Linked DNA regions of Macaca fascicularis. The protein of the gene in region 1 binds, or shares a complex with, the protein of each later gene. Links are inferred from orthologs where the notes say so. Each region holds a gene or a part of one and is shown on either strand. Other genes may lie near its edges. The genes, in order: APOBEC3F and CBFB.

What was found.
Region 2: the proteins of APOBEC3F (region 1) and CBFB are in contact, whole or in part, in a cryo-EM structure (PDB 6NIL), measured with the Homo sapiens proteins. The link is inferred for Macaca fascicularis from reciprocal best matches to the Homo sapiens genes APOBEC3F and CBFB. Residues at the interface, in NP_660341.2 of Homo sapiens: Glu289, Leu291, Ala292, Arg293, His294, Ser295, Asn296, Glu324; in NP_001746.1 of Homo sapiens: Phe32, Asp34, Arg35, Arg43, Glu54.

Annotation. Positions count from the first base shown.
Region 1 is NC_088384.1:12,616,757-12,625,581, forward strand, and holds part of APOBEC3F (DNA dC->dU-editing enzyme APOBEC-3F), read right to left. Parts: intron 7,353-8,825; coding exon 7,199-7,352; intron 6,207-7,198; coding exon of another isoform or gene 5,895-6,206; exon of another isoform or gene 5,373-5,894; intron 5,324-5,372; coding exon 5,044-5,323; intron 4,837-5,043; coding exon 4,722-4,836; intron 696-4,721; coding exon 539-695; intron 1-538.
Region 2 is NC_088394.1:63,040,685-63,050,080, forward strand, and holds the start of CBFB (core-binding factor subunit beta), read left to right. Parts: upstream 1-4,189; 5' UTR 4,190-4,464; coding exon 4,465-4,542; intron 4,543-4,779; coding exon 4,780-4,866; exon of another isoform or gene 4,867-5,272; intron 5,273-9,396. UniProt on the Homo sapiens protein: Forms the heterodimeric complex core-binding factor (CBF) with RUNX family proteins (RUNX1, RUNX2, and RUNX3).

The DNA.
Region 1 (8,825 bases):
GAAGATCTGGGCCACGGACTTAAAAATGTGGGAGGAGGTTGGGCGCGGTAGCTCATGCCTATAATCCTAGCACTTTGGGAGGCCGAGGGGGGCGGATCCCGTGCGGTCAGGAGTTCGAAACCAGCCTGGCCACTGTGGTGAAACCCCGTCTCTACTAAAAATACAATAAAAATTAGCCGGGTGTGGTGGCGGGCACCTGTAATCCCAGCTACTCAGGAGGCTGAGACAGGAGAATCGCTTGAACCCAAGAGGCAGAGGCTGCAGTGAGCCGAGATCACGCCACTGCACTCCAGCCTGGGCGACAGAGCGAGACTCCGTCTCAAAAAAACAAAAAAAAAAACAAAAAAAAACCAAAAAAAAAAAAACAAAAAAAAAAAAAGAAAGAAAGAAAAAAGAAAAAAGAAAGGAAAAAGAAAAAAAGAAATGTAAAAGGAAAGTACACACAGGAGAGCCCGCGCCAGGCACATCACTTCTTGTGGTTTCTGCATTCCCAGCTACTTAGCTCCTATTTGGGGTGTAACTAGGACTTTGGTGCTACCTGGTTTCGGAAGATGCCCGTCTCCCAGGAGACAGTTGAGTGCTGCTTTATAATTTCCATGGTGAAGCACAGCCAGGTTTCATTCCGACCATAGGCTTTCCGTAGGTTTTTAAAGTGGAAGTAGAATATGTGTGGATACGTTGCCTCCATCGGGTTTCTGAGGGCACAAGGGAGAAACCCGCCAATGCAGAGACGCCCCCCCCGGAGTCCTGGGGGCTGATGCCCGCTGAACATCACTCCCTGGACTGCCCTGGGCTCTGGGCCTCCCCCATCCCTCCGCAGCCCTGAGAATGTCTGCTGCTTTCCCAGGCAGGATGATTTGGAGAGAGAAAGAGGAGGGGATACTGGCAGGGGCAGCAGGGCCGGAGTGACCTCTCCCAGCTGGAACCCCAGCTCTGGGGCTACCAATGGGACACCCTTAACCTCCCAGTTTTTCTGCCACACATCTCCCAACCCATTAGGAAAATGCAACAGACAATAAAACTCTCCAAACTCAAATAATTGCTTGAATATTTCAGCTCAATTCCTTCCTCACATTTCACCTGTCCGATGATGATTATTATTTTTACATTGGGATCACACCGAATACTCTCCGTTTTTTTTTTTTTTTTCTTTTTGAGACAGAATCTCGCTGGCATCCAGGATGGAGTGCAGTGGTGCGATCTCGGCTCACTGCAAACTGCACCGCACCTCCCATGTTGAAGTGATTCTCCCACCTCAGCCTCCTGAGTAGCTGGGATTACAGACTTGTGTCACCACGCTTGGCTGATTTTTGTATTTTTATTTATTTATTTTTATATGGGGTCTCACTCTTTCACCAGGCTGGAGAGGAGTGGCGCGATCTCGGCTCACTGCAAGCTCCGCCTCCCGGGTTCACGCCATTCTCCCGCCTCAGCCTCCCAGTAGCTGGGACTACAGGCGCCCGCCACCTCGCCCGGCTAATTTTTTTGTATTTTTTTTTAGTAGAGATGGGGTTTCACCGTGTTAGCCGGGATGGTCTCGATCTCCTGACCTCGTGATCCACCCATCTCGGCCTCCCAAAGTGCTGGGATTACAGGCAACTTTTTTAATTTTTAGTAGAGATAGGGCTTTACCATGTTAGCCAGGATGGTCTTGAACTGCTGACCTTGTGATCTGCCCACCTCGGCCTCCGAAAGTGCTGGGATTAGAAGCGTGAGCCACCGTGCCCAGCACTAGTTTTTGTATGTTTAGTAGCAACCGGTTTTCATCATGTTGGCCAGGCTGGTCTTGAACTCCTGAACTCGTGATCTGCCCACCTCAGCCTCCCAAAGTTCTGGGATGACAGGCGTAAGCCACTGTGCCTGGCAGGTCCAGGCCACTCTCGTAAGTGCTGCATATGTCTGAGCTCATGGCACGTCCCTGAGGCCTGCAGGGGCCATCCTATTTTACAGAAGTGCCAGAGGCACAGAGAGGTAGGGTAACCTGCCCAGGTCACAGAGCTGGGGATGGATGGAGCTGGGGCCCCTTTCCATGCCAGTCCTGTCCAGCCTCTGCATCACAGGCCCTGTAGCAGGGAGCTGTCGGGAACCGGGTTCTCTTCTTACTAAACTTTAAAATAAGAGCATTACTCCTGATCATCATATTTTTTCCTACATTCCAGGTTACATGTGTCATTCTAAAAGGTGAATGGTGCTTACGGAGGAGGAGCCTGTGTCTGGGGTCATGTGCATCCTCCTCTGCTCACACTGGAGGCATCTTTGGAAGAAATGACATATTTTCTGGTACAGAGACCATTCCCTCCCCCACACCCTCTCCTAAGACTTTGTGTTGAAACAAAGTAAATATTACAGAAATTTCATCAAAGTGCTGAGAACAAAATGCCGGATTGCTCCAATCATCCTTTGGTTCAATTCTCCCAGTTCCAGAGCTCAGGAATGGTGGGAAGCACACAGAGGGAGCACCCTCCCAGGGTGGGGAGCACCAGCCCAGTGGTGATTTTCTGGGGAGAGTCTGAGCAGGGGGCCTGGGCTGGGGCAGGTTGGGGAGGCGGCCCATTCAGAAGCTGCAGACCGGTGACCACATAGCAGGGCAAAGAGCCTGGCTGGGAGTGGGAGCAAAAGAGAAGAGGGCAGAGAGCAGAGGGCAGAGAGCCTAGGGCTGGGGCTGGGGCAGGGGGAGGCCAGGGCTGAGGCCCAGCAGGGCCACCAGGCAGGAAGGGGCAGCAGAGGCCCCGCGGGCAGAGCGCACAGTGGTCCCTGATCTGGGGCTTCACATGCAGCCTCCTTGGCAGGCTTGTCCTGGCCCTGATGTTAGTCCTGGGCTTGGGTTCTATTTCTATCTTCCAGGGCCCTTGTTCCAGGAGGCACCTGCGCTGTGAGTGACCTCCCAGGCCCATCTGAGTGCCGGCCTCACTTCAGGCTGCTTTCTCACCTGGATGGGAGGACCTCCAGAGAGACCCCTGGATCCTGCCCTCAGGAATCATCCCAGGGACGCCCCCCACCCAGCAGCTATGTGGTAGGGAGGGAGAGTGAGGGGCAGGTGTCTGCCTCCCCCCATACCCTCACACTCAAAGGCCACCATTGGAGGGAGGAATAGCTGGTGGGGGGGCCTCAGGTGTCCCACCAGGATGTCATGCGTACCCCCACACTGAGCTCCTTCCTTCCACATCTCCTGCCTAGAGTTGTTCCCTGGCTGGCTGAGCTCCTGTCTATATGTGATGAAAGGGCAGAGCTTGGTGTCCCTGGCCACCCTGTCTTGCAGTTTGCTCTTCCGGTCTAAGACCCAGGTGCTTAGTTCCCGTCTCTCCCAAGGGCCTTAGATGATCTCTTTCTATGGCCTGTCTGGTCCCTGGTTGCCTTTTTCTATTGTGCTTCCTGGAAGGTTCCTGGCATCTCAAGCCTCCCGTTATCCAAGCCTACGCTTTTGTAAAATCTCACTCAACACCTGGCCAACACTGCAAAACCCCATCTCTACTAAAGATACAAATATTAGCCAGTGTGGTGACATGTGCTTGTAATCCCAGGTACTTGGGAGGTTGAGACAAGAGAATTGCTAGAACCTGGGAAGCAGAGGTTGCAGTGAGCCGAGATCGCACCACAGCACTCCAGCCTGGGCGACTGAGGGAGAGGCTGTCTCAAAAAAAAAAAAAAAAAAATTTATTCACATGGGACCTTGATCACTGAGTGTTTGGCTCTTTCTGCATCTCCATCCTGTGGGGAGGATTTGAGAAGTGACGGGTGTGAGCAGGAGGCCGGGCTGCGTGCTGTTGGGTGGGGAAGCCATGGGGTGCGGCCCAGGGTGCAGCAAGGTCTGAAGGGAGGGGCTGTGAGGGTCAGGACAGGACTCCTGGGAGACAGACACACAGAACGGAGATCCCTGCATACACCACCCAAGCTTGACCCAAAGCCCCCTGGGTCGTTGTCATGGGCTAAATTGTATCTTCCCAACATTGATATGTTGAAGTCCTCATCCCACCTCCTCACAGGATAACTGTATTTGGAGACAGGTCCACTAAAGTGGTGGTTAAATTAACTCATCGTCCTTAGGGTGGGCCCTAATCCTGTCTGACTGGGGACCATAAACAAGGAGGACATTTAGAGGCAGATAGACCCTAGGGTTGCAGGTGCACAGAGGAACGGCCAGAGAGGACAGGGCCAGGAGGAGCGGCCGCAGAGGACACAGCCCCGCCCACCCCTCCACCCTGGACTTGCAGCCTCCAGATCTGTGAGAAAATAAATGCCGGCCCTGTGGGCACCCGGCCCAGGCCATCTTCTACGGCAGCCGAAGCCTGAAGCTCTGTTCCCACAGTGGCGGCTCCTTCTCAAGGGCTCAGGTCAGCCTTGAAGGATGTTGCTCAAAGCTTCTGGCTGTCGAGCTTGTGAATATTCACGCCCACTTACGTCCAGTGTTATGACAAATTCGGTTATGCCAGGGAGATGGAAGGAGCCAGGTTGGGGATCCCAGGCTGTGGGGAGGGCGGCCTCGGGGGTGGATGGAGGTCGCTCTGGAGGCCGAAGGGGCCTCTCACTCACAGGAGGGGCCCAGGAAAGCAGGGAGGAGGCAGGGAGGTGGAGGAAACACGAGGAGTTGGGGTGAGGGGGTGTAACTATGAGGGCAGGCAGGGGGCAGAAGGGAGGGCAGGAGGGCCTGGCCAGGGGAGGCCTCAGGAGGATGAGCAGGAGGTGAGAGGAGAGAGACCATGAGGCCAGAGGGAGACCCTCACCTGAGAATCTCCTTTAGCTTGTGGTGCAGGAATGCATAATTGTCATCGAATTTGTCCCAAGGCATGAATGACTGACCTTCATTGTACACAAAGTTTTCCCAGCAGTATGCAAATTCTGACATGAAGAGGCAGGAAGCAGTCAGGCTCTCCCCTGACCCTGGTCCTGCCCTCCCAGGCCTGCTCTCCTGGTGGTCAGTTGTGGTCAGCCCTGGCCCTGCCCCTGTAGGTTGCCCTGGGACGCCCCCAGCCATGGCATTGCAGATCCATCCATCTCTCATGCTGTTCCACCCACTCACACTCCCCTGACCCCTCCTCCTCTCACCTTCATAGTCCATGATCTTCACTCGGGCCCCTGCCTGACGCAGCCTGCAGAGCGCCCTGCGATAATCTGTTTCCCAGTAGTAGTAGAGGCGGGCGGCAGAGATGGTCAGGGTGACATTAGGGTGCTCAGCTAGGAATTCGGCCACCTTCGCCACACAGTCTGGGCAGGGGGTCCAGGATACAAACCAGGTGATCTGGAAGCGCTTGTAAGCAGGCAGCTGGTTGCCACAGAACCGAGAGAGGAAGCACATTTCTGCGTGGTGCTCAGGCTTGGAATACACCTGGGAGAGGAGCAGGGGCAGGGGATGCTCTGAGAGGGGGAGCAGGAGGAGAGGGCAGGGTTGGGGCAGTGGGAGGAGGGGCCAGGACAGGAGTCCAGGGGATCTTGCCACTGAAGCTCCTTTCCTCCATCCCCCTGATTAGTTTGAGTGATTGTCTGCTCCAAAGCTCATGCTCAGTGTTAATTGCTATGGTAATGGCCTTAACCATAACCATTACCATTAACCATTAAGAGGTGGCACATACAAGCGGCTATGAGGTTGTGGGGACTCCACCTTTGTGGGTGCCACTGCTGTGGTTATTCAAGGGCGACTTTAGCCCCACTTTCTGTCTCTTGCCCACTAGCTGGAGGGGCAGTGTGTAAGATTAAACTCCTGCTTCCTCTTGTCCCCGTGGCATGGAGCAGCAGTGACCCGACATCCCAGGCCACTCTGGCTGGAGCATCCCCGACCTTCTGGCAACAACCTTCACCCCCACGTGACTGTGCAGCTCGCAGGCCCTGGAAAGTCGCTGGTGCCTTGACAGTGGATTTCCCAGCGTCCAGAACTCGAGCCAGCACATTTCTATTCATTGTCAATGTCTCCGTCTCAGTCCTGCTGTTGAAGCATCACAAGGTGCACCAAGACACGTGCTTCCCTTTTTTTGGGAGTTTTCCCAGCCCTGTTCACGGCCTCGTGCGTGAATTCTGGCATCCATTCTCCCAGGCATCCATTCACCAGGCATCCTCAGCCCCTGCTGTGGCCTGGCCCTCTGGGGTCTGCCTTGTTCCCTCCCTGCCATCTCCTGGAGAAGCCACTGGACTTGTGCTCTCCCATGTGGTGGGGGGCACTGGGCAAGGGGGTTACTGAGCACTTGAAATGGGGCTCTGATGAGAGACCTGGGCACCTGAAAAATACATTATACACCGCTCATTTCTCTTTTTGTTGTTGTTGTTGTTGAGACATGGTTTCACTCTTGTTGCCCAGGCTGGAGTGCAATGATGCAATCTCAACTCACCATAACCTCTGCCTCATGGGTTCAAGCGATTCTCCTGCCTCAGCCTCCCAAGTAGCTGGGATTACAGGTGACTGCCACCACGCTTGGCTAATTTTTTTGTATTTTTAGTAGAGATGGGATTTCACCATGTTGGCCATGCTGGTTTTCGAACATCTGACCTCAGGTGATCCACTGGCCTCAGCCTCCGAAAGTGCTGGGATACAGGCGCCAGCCACCCCACTAGCATGGCTTACACGGCTCATTTCAAAGACTCAGCATGACAAGAAAAAGAAACTTCACTATCTTGTCAAGAATTTTATGTTAAATAATCTTGAAGTAATGTTAGCGACATTGGATTGAATAAAATATTAAAAATAGGCCGGCACTGTGGCTCACACCTGTAATCCCAACACTTTGGGAGGCCGAGGCAGGTGGATCACCTGAGGTCTGGAGTTCAAGACCAACCTGGCCAACATGGTAAAATCCGGTCTCTACTAATGATACAAAAAAAAAAAAAAAAATTACCCACACATGGTGGTGGGCACCTGTAATCCCAGCTACTCGGGAGTCTGAGGCAACAGAATCGCTTGAACCCAGGAGTCAGAGGTTGCAGTGAGCTGAGATTGCGTCATTGCACTCCAGCCTGAGCAACAAGAGAGAAACTCTGTCTCAAAAAAAAACAAAAACAAAAAAAAACAAGGCCTTTTGTGCAGAGGCAAACCCCCTCCACGATCCGATCCCAGGATGGTCCAGCGGGAAGGTCAGGGCCACGGACTTGGAAAGTGTGGGAGAGAACGACACCCTGGACAGGCCGCCGCCGGGCATTTCACTCGTCAGTACGTGGTTTGCTTTCCCAGCTGGCTTAGCTCCTGCCTGTAAAGTGATTGGAGTCTGGGTGGTACCTGGCCTCGAAAGATCTTTGTGCCCCAAGTGGGCACTGAGGGGCCCCTTGTTTTCACTTCGTAGCACAGCCAGACGGTATTCCGACGAGAAAGGATGGGTCTGTTATTAAAGTTGTAGAAGAATGTGCCTCGATACATTCGCTCCACTGTGTTTCTGAAGACACAAGAGAGAAACCAGCCAATGCAGAGAGCGCTCCCAGGAGCCCTCCGCACTGATGTCCGCTAAACACAGTTCCCTGGACGGCTCTGGGCCTCCCCCATCTCTCCACAGCCCTGAGAATTTCTGCTTCCTTCCCAGGCAGGAAGACCGGGGAGAGAGCAAGAAAAGGGGGTGCTGGCAGGGGCGGCAGGACCGGGGTGACCTCTTCCCGCTCGGGGCCCAGCTCTGGTCATTCCAGGGGTACATTCCCCACCCTCCCGGTATTTCTCCCACCTACTCTCCAACGCATTAGTAAAATGCAAAAGAGAATAAAGTTATTGGCTGGCCTTTATGGCTCATAACTGTAATCCCAGCCTTTTGGGAGGCCGAGGTGGGCCGATCATTGAGGTCAGGAGTCTGAGACCAGTCTCATCAACATGGTGACACCCAGTCTCTACGAAAAACACAAAAATTAGCCAGGCCTGGTGGCGGGTGCGTGTAATCCCAGCCACTCAGGAGGCTGAGGCAGGAGAATCACTTGAACGTGGGAGGCAGAGGTTATAGTGAGCCGAGATCGTGCCATTACACTCCAGCCTGGGCAACAAGAGTGAAAATTCATCTCAAAAAAAAAAAAAAAGATTAAAAAAAATATTTTTAAATAATAATATTTTTTTAAAAAATCATAGATTTTAACCTTTCAGCCAGTTCCTTCCTGACATTTCACCTTAGTATATTACTATTTTTAAATCACGGTAGAACTGAATTCTGAGGCCCAGGCCACTCTTCTAAGTGCTGCGTGGGTTTAAACTCATGTGAGGCTGCCCTAGGCCTGCAGGGGCATTTCCCATCTTATAGAGGAGGGGCCAGAGGCGCAGAGAGGTGGGGTAACCTGCCCAGGCCACAGAGCTGGGGATGGATGGGGCTGGGCCTCTTATCAGACAAGCCCTATCCAGTCTCTGTATCACCGGCCCTGCAGGAGGGAGTCACTGGGGACCGGGCTCTCTTCTTACTAAATTTTAAAATAAAAGCATTTCTCCTGATCATGGAGGCTTTTTTCCCCCATATATTCCATGTTTTTTGTTTTGTTTTTGCTTTTGTTTTCTTTTGAGACTAAATTTCACTCTTGTTGCCCAGGCTGGAGTGCAATGGCACGATCTCGGCTCACCGCAACCTCCACCTCCTGGGTTCAAGCGATTATCCTGTCTCAGCCTCCAGAGTAGCTGGGATTACAGGCACCCGCCACTGCACCTGGTTAATTATATATTTCTAGTAGAGACAGGGTTTATCCATGTTTGTCAGGCTGCTCTCAAACTCCCGACCTCAGGCGATCCGCCTGACTCAGCTTCCCAAAGTGCTGGGATGACAGGCTTGAGCCACCGTGCCCAGTCACTATATTCCATGTTACTGGTGTCATTATAAATGGTGAATGCTGATCGTAGAGGAAGAGTGTGTGTTTGGGGTCATCTGCATCCTCCTCTGCCCACAGTG
Region 2 (9,396 bases), on another chromosome or scaffold:
GCAAACGTCAAACTTATAATTACAAGGATGAAATCATCTGGTTCCTTTTAAGCAAACGGGTTTATTGATCCCAACACTAAAGAAATGCTATTCTGGGGAAACTTGCTCCTCTCTGCTTTCCTTTCCCTATGGGATGGCTGAGCTGGGGGAGGGTGGCTGGGGGGCTCAGAAGAGGGAGATGCCCCTGGGAGGGAGGGGAGATTCTTTGGGCCCAAGAGTGGATTTTACAGTATATAAATTATATCTCAAAAAGAAAAAAATTCTTTAGGGCCCAGGAAACTGCCACACTTGGGCAGATGACACCCTTATCCTGGATTAAGGCCCATTGTCTTCTAAAAACTAGAAGCTGAGTGGAGCCAGGCTTTTAGGCAATGTGCCAGCCACTAATTTTCCTTGTCTCCCACTCCTCTCAAGTCTCATTTGTGGCTCCAGATCCTATTTCAACTTCAAGATGGTACAATATTTTCTCAGTAACTGAAGGGAAACTATTTCCTTAGAAAAAACGCATCAGAGGCTCAGAGACCTCCTCTGTGAGGAGAGGCAAAGATGGGTGGCTGCTGACACCAGTCCTGGATAAAACCATCCTTCCTGCTGGGCCTGTGGAGGCAGGACATCTAGATTTCGATCTTCCAAGTCAAGAAGGGACAAACAGGCTCAGAGGTAGGAATGCACAGCCCTCAAGGGCAGACCCACATCTTGCCACAAGGCCCACAATAGAACCCCTTTCTTCAACCTGTGGGAACCCTTCTAGAACATGTTGGGGTGCTCCCAGAGGAATAACCCCAGACATAGCCTTCTACGAGTGTGCAGTTCAGTGAGGGTGGCAGGCAGGACTTTTGGTATCTCCACTAGGTCTCAGAGTAGAATGATTAAAATCACCACCATGGGGTCACTTAGCACCTGTGAATCTCAGTTGGCCCATCTGTAGAATAGGATCAATAATACTAAACTTATAGGAAGGAATGAAGATGATGTATCCCAATGCTTAGCTAGTTTCTTTAGAGTTGGTAGGGGGTCTCACTCTGTTGTCTGGATGGTCTCGAACTCCTGGCCTCAAGTGATCCTCCCACTTCTGCTTCCCAAAGTGCTGAGATTACAGGTATGCACTCTCTCTCAAAAAAAAAAAAAAAAAAAAAAAGAGAAAGTACAAAAGGACAGTGACGAGACCCTGATCCATTTGAAATAACAAAATGGAGGCTGGCCACCGCTCCTGGCCTTATTTACTTTTTCAAAGTCTGTTTCCTCATCTCTCAGATGGAGACATGAGACCTGACTTAGAAGATGGTTGTGTGGGCCAGGTGCAGTGACTCACGCCTATAATCCCAGCACTTTGGGAGGCTGAGGCGGGCAGATCGCCTGAGGTTAGGAGTTCGGGACTAGCCTGTCCTTCTCTACTAAAAATACAAAAATTAGCTGGGCGTGGTGGCAGGCGCCTGTAATCCCAGCTACTCAGGAAGCTGAGGCAGGAGAATCAGTTGAACCTGAGAGGCGGAGGTTGCAGTGAGCCAAGATCGCACCATTATACTCCAGCCTGGGCAACAGAGTAAGACTCTGTCTCAAAAAAAGAAAAAAAAAAAGGAGGTGGTTGTGTGAACTAACTGAGATAAGGTGCATGAAGGCACCCTGAACAGAGCTTCACAGTTGCACTAGGCAAGTGAAGGTTCCTGCACTCTGCTCAGCTTCATTGTGTATTATCTATTTACCCACCTAAGATCAGCTTTAGGAGTCTGCAGGAGCAGGCACCCACCTAGGAAGTTAGGGAGGTACTCAGAGAAGACCCTTGGTTGGCTTGAATCCTTACAAAAGGAAGATTCCAGATGATAGGACTTCAGATAATTCAGTCAGGTTTTGGGACGGTGGGGGCAGATGTTTCTTGGCACAGAAGAGACACCTGCAAGCTTCCATGTGTGGGCCTTAGTAGAGCTGGATCTTAGCAAACCCCCTTAGCAAACACCCATAGCATAGTGTCTGGGCTAACCCATACCCAACTCAACAGCTGCCAAAGCTGTTAGAAGCACAGACTTAAGTGTACCTTACATGGGTGAAAGTTTCCTTTATAAATTTCCTTTAATTCAGTTTTTTAAAAGAAGTGAAAAAAATTTAAACCACCACCAAAAAGGCATATAGAGGTTAGCTGAGGAGATGGCCTTCTTCAGTATGTGGCTTATTTCCCAGTCATCCTGGCTGTTGAATGCCAGACTACACCGAGTGTGGGTTACCCTGTGGCCTGCAGTTGCCCAAGGCTGTCTGTGGGGCTGCTGTTCTGGGTCTGCTTGGCAGGCTTTGCTGTCCCTTTCCCTTAGGACATCATTCCTCCCCTCCATGAGGCTGACAATGAGAGCGCCCTGCCCTGCTCTGTACTCCCACCCCTCCAGGTCCAGCTCCCTTGACCCTGACCTTGTCTAAGCTCATAGTGTCTGTCTGGCCATCAAGGCCATTCTAGAGATCTTTCAACTTTTATTTATTCCACATTTCCCATGGCAGAAACAATTATTGCTGGAGTCTTTGGCCAAGATCAACTTGGAGGTCTGTGAGCCCTCCTTGGACCCATTGTGGAACAAGAGTGCTTCTTCATGGAGTTTTCTTCCCCCCCCCCCCCCCCCCCCCCCCGAGACGGGGTTATGCTCTTGTCACCCAGGCTGGAGTGCAATGGCACGATCTTGTCTCACTGCAACCTCTGCCTCCCAGGTTCAACCCATCCTCCTGCCTCAGCTTCTCGAGTAGCTGTTTGAGATGGAGTCTTGCTCTGTGGCCCAGGCTGGAGTGCAGTGGCACCATCTCGGCTACTACAACCTCCACCTCCCGGGGTCAGGCGATTCTCCTGCCTCAGCCTCCTCAGTAGCTGAGACTACAGGCGTGTGCCACCACACCTGGCTAATTTTTGTACTTTTAGTAGAGATGGGGTTTTGCCATGTTGACCAGGCTGGCCTCAAGCTCCTGATCTCAGGTGATCAGCCCGCCTCGGCCTCCCAAAGTGCTAGGATTAGGCCAGGCGCAGAGGCTCACGCCTGTAATCCCAGCACTTTGGGAGGCCGAGGCGGGCAGATCATCTGAGGTCAGTAGTTCCAGACCAGTCTGACTAACACGACGAAACCCCTTCTCTACTAAAAATGCAAAAAAATTTAGCCGGGGATGGTGGTGGGCCCCTGTAATTCCAACCATTCGGGAGGCAGAGGCAGGAGAATCACTTGAACCCAGGAGGCAGAGGTTGCAGTGAACCGAGATCACGCCATCGCACTCCAGCCTGGGCGACAGAGCAAGACTCTGTTTAAAAAAAAAAAAAAAAAAAAAAAAGGCTGGGATTACTGGTATAAGCCACCGCGCCCGGCCACAGGACTAACTTTGAATGAAACTCTGCCATAAATCCCATGTCAGACTTTCTCCAGTTTGGGCTAAACGACTTCCCTAGAACTTATGGATCTTATTTTTTTTGCAGCTGATTGCACACTGAGTAAGACTGGCAATCGGTTACATTCTTAACGCAGCTTGTTCTTCTTTAGAAACTTAAATTTATTGGGCTCCCACTGTGTGCTAGACCCACATAACAGTTCTCACGCTAACACTGCAAACTTAGGAGTGTCTGCATTTTGGAAATAAGGAAACTGAGGTTTAGTGGTCCAGTTCTTGTCTAAGGCCCCAGCCAGCAGGTAGTGTAGCTGAGTGGGATCCCATCTAAGACCCATCTGACTCCAACAGCCACGACCTTTCCACCATGCCTTGGTTGGATTCTTCGGTCCATTTCCACCTCAGTCTTCAACGTGCACAGCCTACACCCCTACCGGTCGGTTTAGGGACGAAAAGTCCCCAAGGACTTAGGTTTCCTCGCGTTCAAATGACAATCTGGGGTTACTCCGCGCACCTGGGGAACCCAGAAGTTCCAGATGGCCGAGGAAGGGCGGAAGAAAAGGCCTGCGTTAGCTACTCCCGTCTGCTAAAAGGCAGGCGGATCCCCCCACGGCAGCTCCACGCCGAGTGATCGCGGGCGAGCAGCGGGAAAAGGGCAGCGCTGCGGAAAGAGCCCCGGGGCGCCACAGCCCCGCTGCTTAGCCAGCGGGCGGGTGGCGCATGCGCGGCGCGGGCCGCGGAGTTGTGAATGGTGCGTCTTGTTTGCTGGAGTTGGAGGCGGGCGGGCTCGCAAGGAGGAGGGGTGGGGCCGCCGGGGGCGGGGTGGGCGGTGAGAGGAAGTGGCGGCGGCGGCGGCGGCCGGGGGCGGCGAGAGCTGGGGCTGCGCGGGCGGCAGGCAACGGCTGAGGCGGCGGCGGCGGCGGCGTGGGTTGGGTTCGAGCGGGCAGCTGCGCCTCCGACTCCTCGGAACGGGAGCCCACGCGGGCGGGCGCCTGAAACAAAGGGAAGCGGGCGTCCGGGCGCCGCGGGTGGGCGGTCAGTCGGTCAGCGCGGAGCCAGCCAGCGGGTGCCCGCGCAAGCCCCGAGCGCGGCTGGCCGGCGCGGCCTCAGGGCGGGAAGATGCCGCGCGTCGTGCCCGACCAGAGAAGCAAGTTCGAGAACGAGGAGTTCTTTAGGAAGCTGAGCCGCGAGTGTGAGGTGAGGCGGGCGGGCGGCTAGGAGGCCGCAGCGCGCCCCGAGTGGGCCCGGGCGAAGAAAAGTTTGGGCGGCGCGGTCCCCGGGAGTCCCGGTCGGCGCGCCTGCGGAGGGGCAATCTCGCCTGGGCGGCCGTCGCCCGCAGCCTCTGCTTGCCTTTATCGGCGCCGCGCTGGGAGGGCGGGCGCGCGGGCGGCGCCGCGGATTTGGCTCCTGATTTCGGGCCGTCTTGCCTTGCAGATTAAGTACACGGGCTTCAGGGACCGGCCCCACGAGGAGCGCCAGGCGCGCTTCCAGAACGCCTGCCGCGACGGCCGCTCGGAAATCGTAAGTCGGCGGGCCCGGGGCGCAGACAGGGGCGCGCGCGGGTCACTTGTTGCGCCGGGCGGCCGCGGCCCAGGCCGGTTCCGGACGGCGGCGCGGCTGCCGCGGCTCCCGGAACTGAGCGGGCGCCGTCTCACTTCCTACTCGGGTTTCAAAATGCGAAACCAGACGCCGCGGGCCGGTGCTCGCGAGGAGACGCTTTCCCTGGGGCCCGCCGCGGTGGCGCGTGTCGGCCAATGGAGCACCGCGAGTGGGGCTCGAACCCGAGCCAGACTAAACAAGTGAAGGGCATTGTTTAGGCGGCTACACCAAGGAAGGGTTCAGGGTATTTGTGGCAAGCAAGCAAACCCCCATTCGGAAAAACAACCGGAGCTTCATTCAAGGTCGGCGATAGTTTGTTTCTTAAAAGGTGAGCTCTCGGTGATTCTCTGTCAAGCGGTCTCACTCCCAGATCGCCGAGAAGAAATCTTTTCTCCAGTTATGTATTGTCCTAATAGAGAGGAAACGGGGGGGAAAGGCCTTAAAAGTGTCATTTTCTTAGAATGTTAAGCTTCAGGAGAATCAGAAATAAACCATTATCCACATGTCTCGAGTAGGGCTGCCGTTCCTAAAATGCACAGATGGGCGAAACTCACGGTTGATCTCGAGGTCCTCGTTTTAGGAGGCAGATTTGGTGTGTCTTCACCAGATCTTGGGTTGAAGAAAAAAATTCAAGGGTCCTAGTTCCTCTCATCTCCTTTTGGTTTGCCTTGTTGGAGGTGCTGATGAGGAGAGAATGGTAGGAAGAAACCGAGAAAAGAGGTTGATTATTATTTTTTTGAGGTAGAGTCTTGCTCTGTTGCCCAGACTGGAGTACAGTGGCTCGATCTCCACTCACTGCAACCTCCGCCTCCTGGGTTCAAGCGATTTTCGTGCCTCAGCCTCCTGAGTAGCTAGGATTACAGGTGCCTGCCACCACGCCCGGCTAATTTTTGTATTTTCAGTAGAGACGGGGTTTCACCATGTTGGCCAAGCTGGCCTCCTGACCTCAAGTGATCCATCCTCCTCGACCTTCCAGAGTGTTAGGATTACAGGCGTGAGCCACTGCGTCCGGCCTGATTATTTTTTAAAAAGTTAAAGCGCTGTCTAATGGAATGCTGTTACTATCTGCTGGGTGACTTGGACCTATTGCATTGTCAGAGGCTTGAAGTTAGATGCGATTTGAATTTGGGTTAATAGTAGGAAGACATATTGGAAATTTACTCCTCCCACCCCCTTTATAAAACCAGTTTATTTTTATTCAGATATAATTCTTATGCCATAAAACTCTTCCTTTTCATCACTGAACTCAAATTTAATTTTAAAGAATATCTTGATATTTTAAGTGAAGGCTTTTTAGAATTGTAATAGAAGATACTGGTTAAATTTATAGGAGCTCGTGAATATTTGGTCATTAGTGCATGTTATGAAAGACAGTCTCAAGCTTTTAGCCCACTTGCAAGTTTCTTGAGTAATTGTATTATTTATATGATTGAAGTGCATAAGACATGCTTTTAGATTTTGTCACTGAGTGGTATAAGAAAATAATTCATTAGCTGGTGCGATGATCGTGTCATCCTTTGCCTGGGTTACCTTTTGCAAAAGGAAGGTGGTACACTTGAGGATAGAATTTCCTGGAGGTAAAGGATGCAAGTATAAAAGATAAGATACAAAGTATTTGTACTGTCAATGTTTGCTTTTTTGTTTGTTTTGAGATGGAGTCCCGCTCTATTACCCAGGCTGCAGTGCAGCAGCATGATGTAGTCTTGGCTCGCTACAACCTTTGCCTCCCAGGTTCAAGCGATTCTCCTGCCTCAACCTCCTGAGTAGCTGGGATTAGAGGCACACACCACCACGCCCAGCTAATTTTTTTGTATTTTTAGTAGAGACAGGGTTTCACCATGTTGGCCAGGCTGGTTTTGAACTCCTGACCTTAAATGATCCTCCCACTTCGGCCTTCCAAAGTGCTGGGATTACAAGTGTGAGCCACCGCGCCCGGCCTTGTTTTGTTTTGTTTTTTTTTAAGAGAGAGGTCTTGCTGTGTGGCCTAGGCTGGGGTGCAGTGGCTGTTCACAGACATAATCATAAGGCACTACAGCCTCAAACTTCTGGGCTCAAGCGATCCTCTTGTCTCAGCCTCCCAATAGCTGGGACTACCAGGCTCGGTGTCACCATACGCCGCCCCATGTATTATATTATTATCACTATTTTTGAAAGCTGAATTTTTTTGGAATGGTGAATCATAGCTAGTAGGGTGTTTTCTGTCATTTCAGACTTTGCTGAATGGAATTATGAATTCAACCCATGGGATATCTGAAATGCCGTAATATTATAGTAGTGTTATAGGTGGTTAGTGTTTGTCTTAAATTTCTTTCCAGGATGAATTAGACATTCTAGACTTTTCCTGCTTCCAAATATCTGATCCTCACCTGAGCCTGGGAGATCGAGGCTGCAGTGAGCCATAATCACACCACTGCACTCCAGCCTAGGTGACAGAGTGAGACCCTGTCTCCAAAAATAAAACAAATGTCTGATCCGACACATTTTATAAGTTTTAAATTTCTGAAAAGTATTAAAGGTTAAAGAAGGTAGATTGAATGCTGTGTGAGGTTTGCACTTAAGACGACACAGGTCTTATTTTGTTAAGTAATGTAACTATTGGTATTTGGAGAGGAATTTCACATTTCCTAGTTTTTTCTCTTTCTAGTTTCCCTCCTTTAATTTAGTGTTAACCCACATTTAATTACAGGATCCTTAGCTCCTAGAGGGTGGAGACCTTATTAATTCTGTATAAACCCCTCTGGATACAGGTATTTTGCACAATACCATAGGTACTTGATTATTTGAATTTAGAGGCTAGTTAATTTAATGCCTGAAATTTATCTTATTACTTATGAATAGGCCATGGTTTCTTTCTATTTGGCTGTGGAAAAAGGCATTATTTTGCCTGTTTTGACAGCAGCCATAAATGGCAAGAATATCCACAGTTCTCAAAACTATTCCCATTTGCATTTAGATGTGAAATAATTTAAGGATGTGTTGATCATCTCTAACTATAAAAATCAGCCCCCTTATTTTATGCCAATTGAGTTTTTAACTGTAAAACCTAATCAGCATTAAATAAAAGTGAACACCAGTAGAAGAATCTGTGGTAGAATCTGATTTATTCTTTTTTTGAGACTGGATCTCACTCTGTCACCCAGGCTGGAGTGCAGTGGTGCCATTTCCGTTCGCTGCAACCTCCGCCTCCTGCTTCCGCCTCCCGACTAGCTGGGATTATAGGTGCCTGCCATCATGCCTGTCTGGTTTTTGTATTTTTAGTAGAGATGGGTTTCACTGTGTTGGCCAGGCTGGTCTCCAACTCCTGGCCTCAAGTGATCTGCCTGCTTCCGTGAGCCACTGCACCCAGCTTTGATTTATTCTTACGAATTTTTTTTTTTTTTTTTTTTGAGTTGGAGTCTCGTTCTGTTGCCCTGGCTGGAGTGCAGTGGCCCTATCTCAGCTCACTGCAAGCTCCGCCTCCTGGGTTCACATCATTCTCCCGCCTCAGCCTCCCGAGTAGCTGGGACTACAGGCGCCTGCCACCGCGCCTGGCTAATTTTGTTTTTGTATTTTTAGTAGAGACAGGGTTTCACGGTTTTTTGTTTTTTTTGTTTTTGTTTTTTTTTGAGACGGTGTCTCATACTGTCGGCTAGGCTGCAGTGCAATGGCAAGATCTTGGCTCACTGCAACCTCCGCCTCCTGGGTTCTCACGATTCTCCTGCCTCAGCCTCACGAGTAGCTGGAATTACAGGCGCACACCACCACACCCAGCTAATTTTTTGTATTTTTAGTAGAGATGGGGTTTCACTACGTTGGCCAGACTGGTGTCGAGCTTCTGATCGCGTGATCTGCCTGCCTTGGCTTCCCAAAGTGCTGGGATTACAGGCTTGAGCCACCGTACCTGGCCTATGCTTACCAATTATGTAGTAAGAGTGTTGGAGATGTCTTCAGCACTAATAATCAATTAAAGAAAAAATATTTATGAGAAGTATGGTTACTCTATGGTGAGAAGAGTAAAAACTAATACATATTTCTAATTCTGAAGAATGAATGGTAAAAAGTATGTTGGATTGTCTCAAGGTGTGCTATTTTATAATTTGTGAAACCTATAAAACATAAGACAACCTGGAAATCTTAAATATAGGCGTCATACCAGTGTAGCATTTTAATGTTTTCATTTTGTTTCTTTTTTTCTTTATTTTCCTATGACAATATATTAATATTTTGGAACAATATATTAATATTTTGGAACAGACTTTTTCCAACTCTTACGTATATATAGGTATCTCATTAAAAGAGTTCTATGGTCAGATAAGTTTGGAAAATGCTTTTCTAGAATGATCTGTGTTTACCACTTCTGTCTCAGAGAGCGATCTTTATGAGATAATGGACATATAGTGATGAAGCAGGAAATCTCTTCTGAGGTTGGCATCAAGACAGGAGATGAGGTAATACGATCTGCAGAGTGTCTTG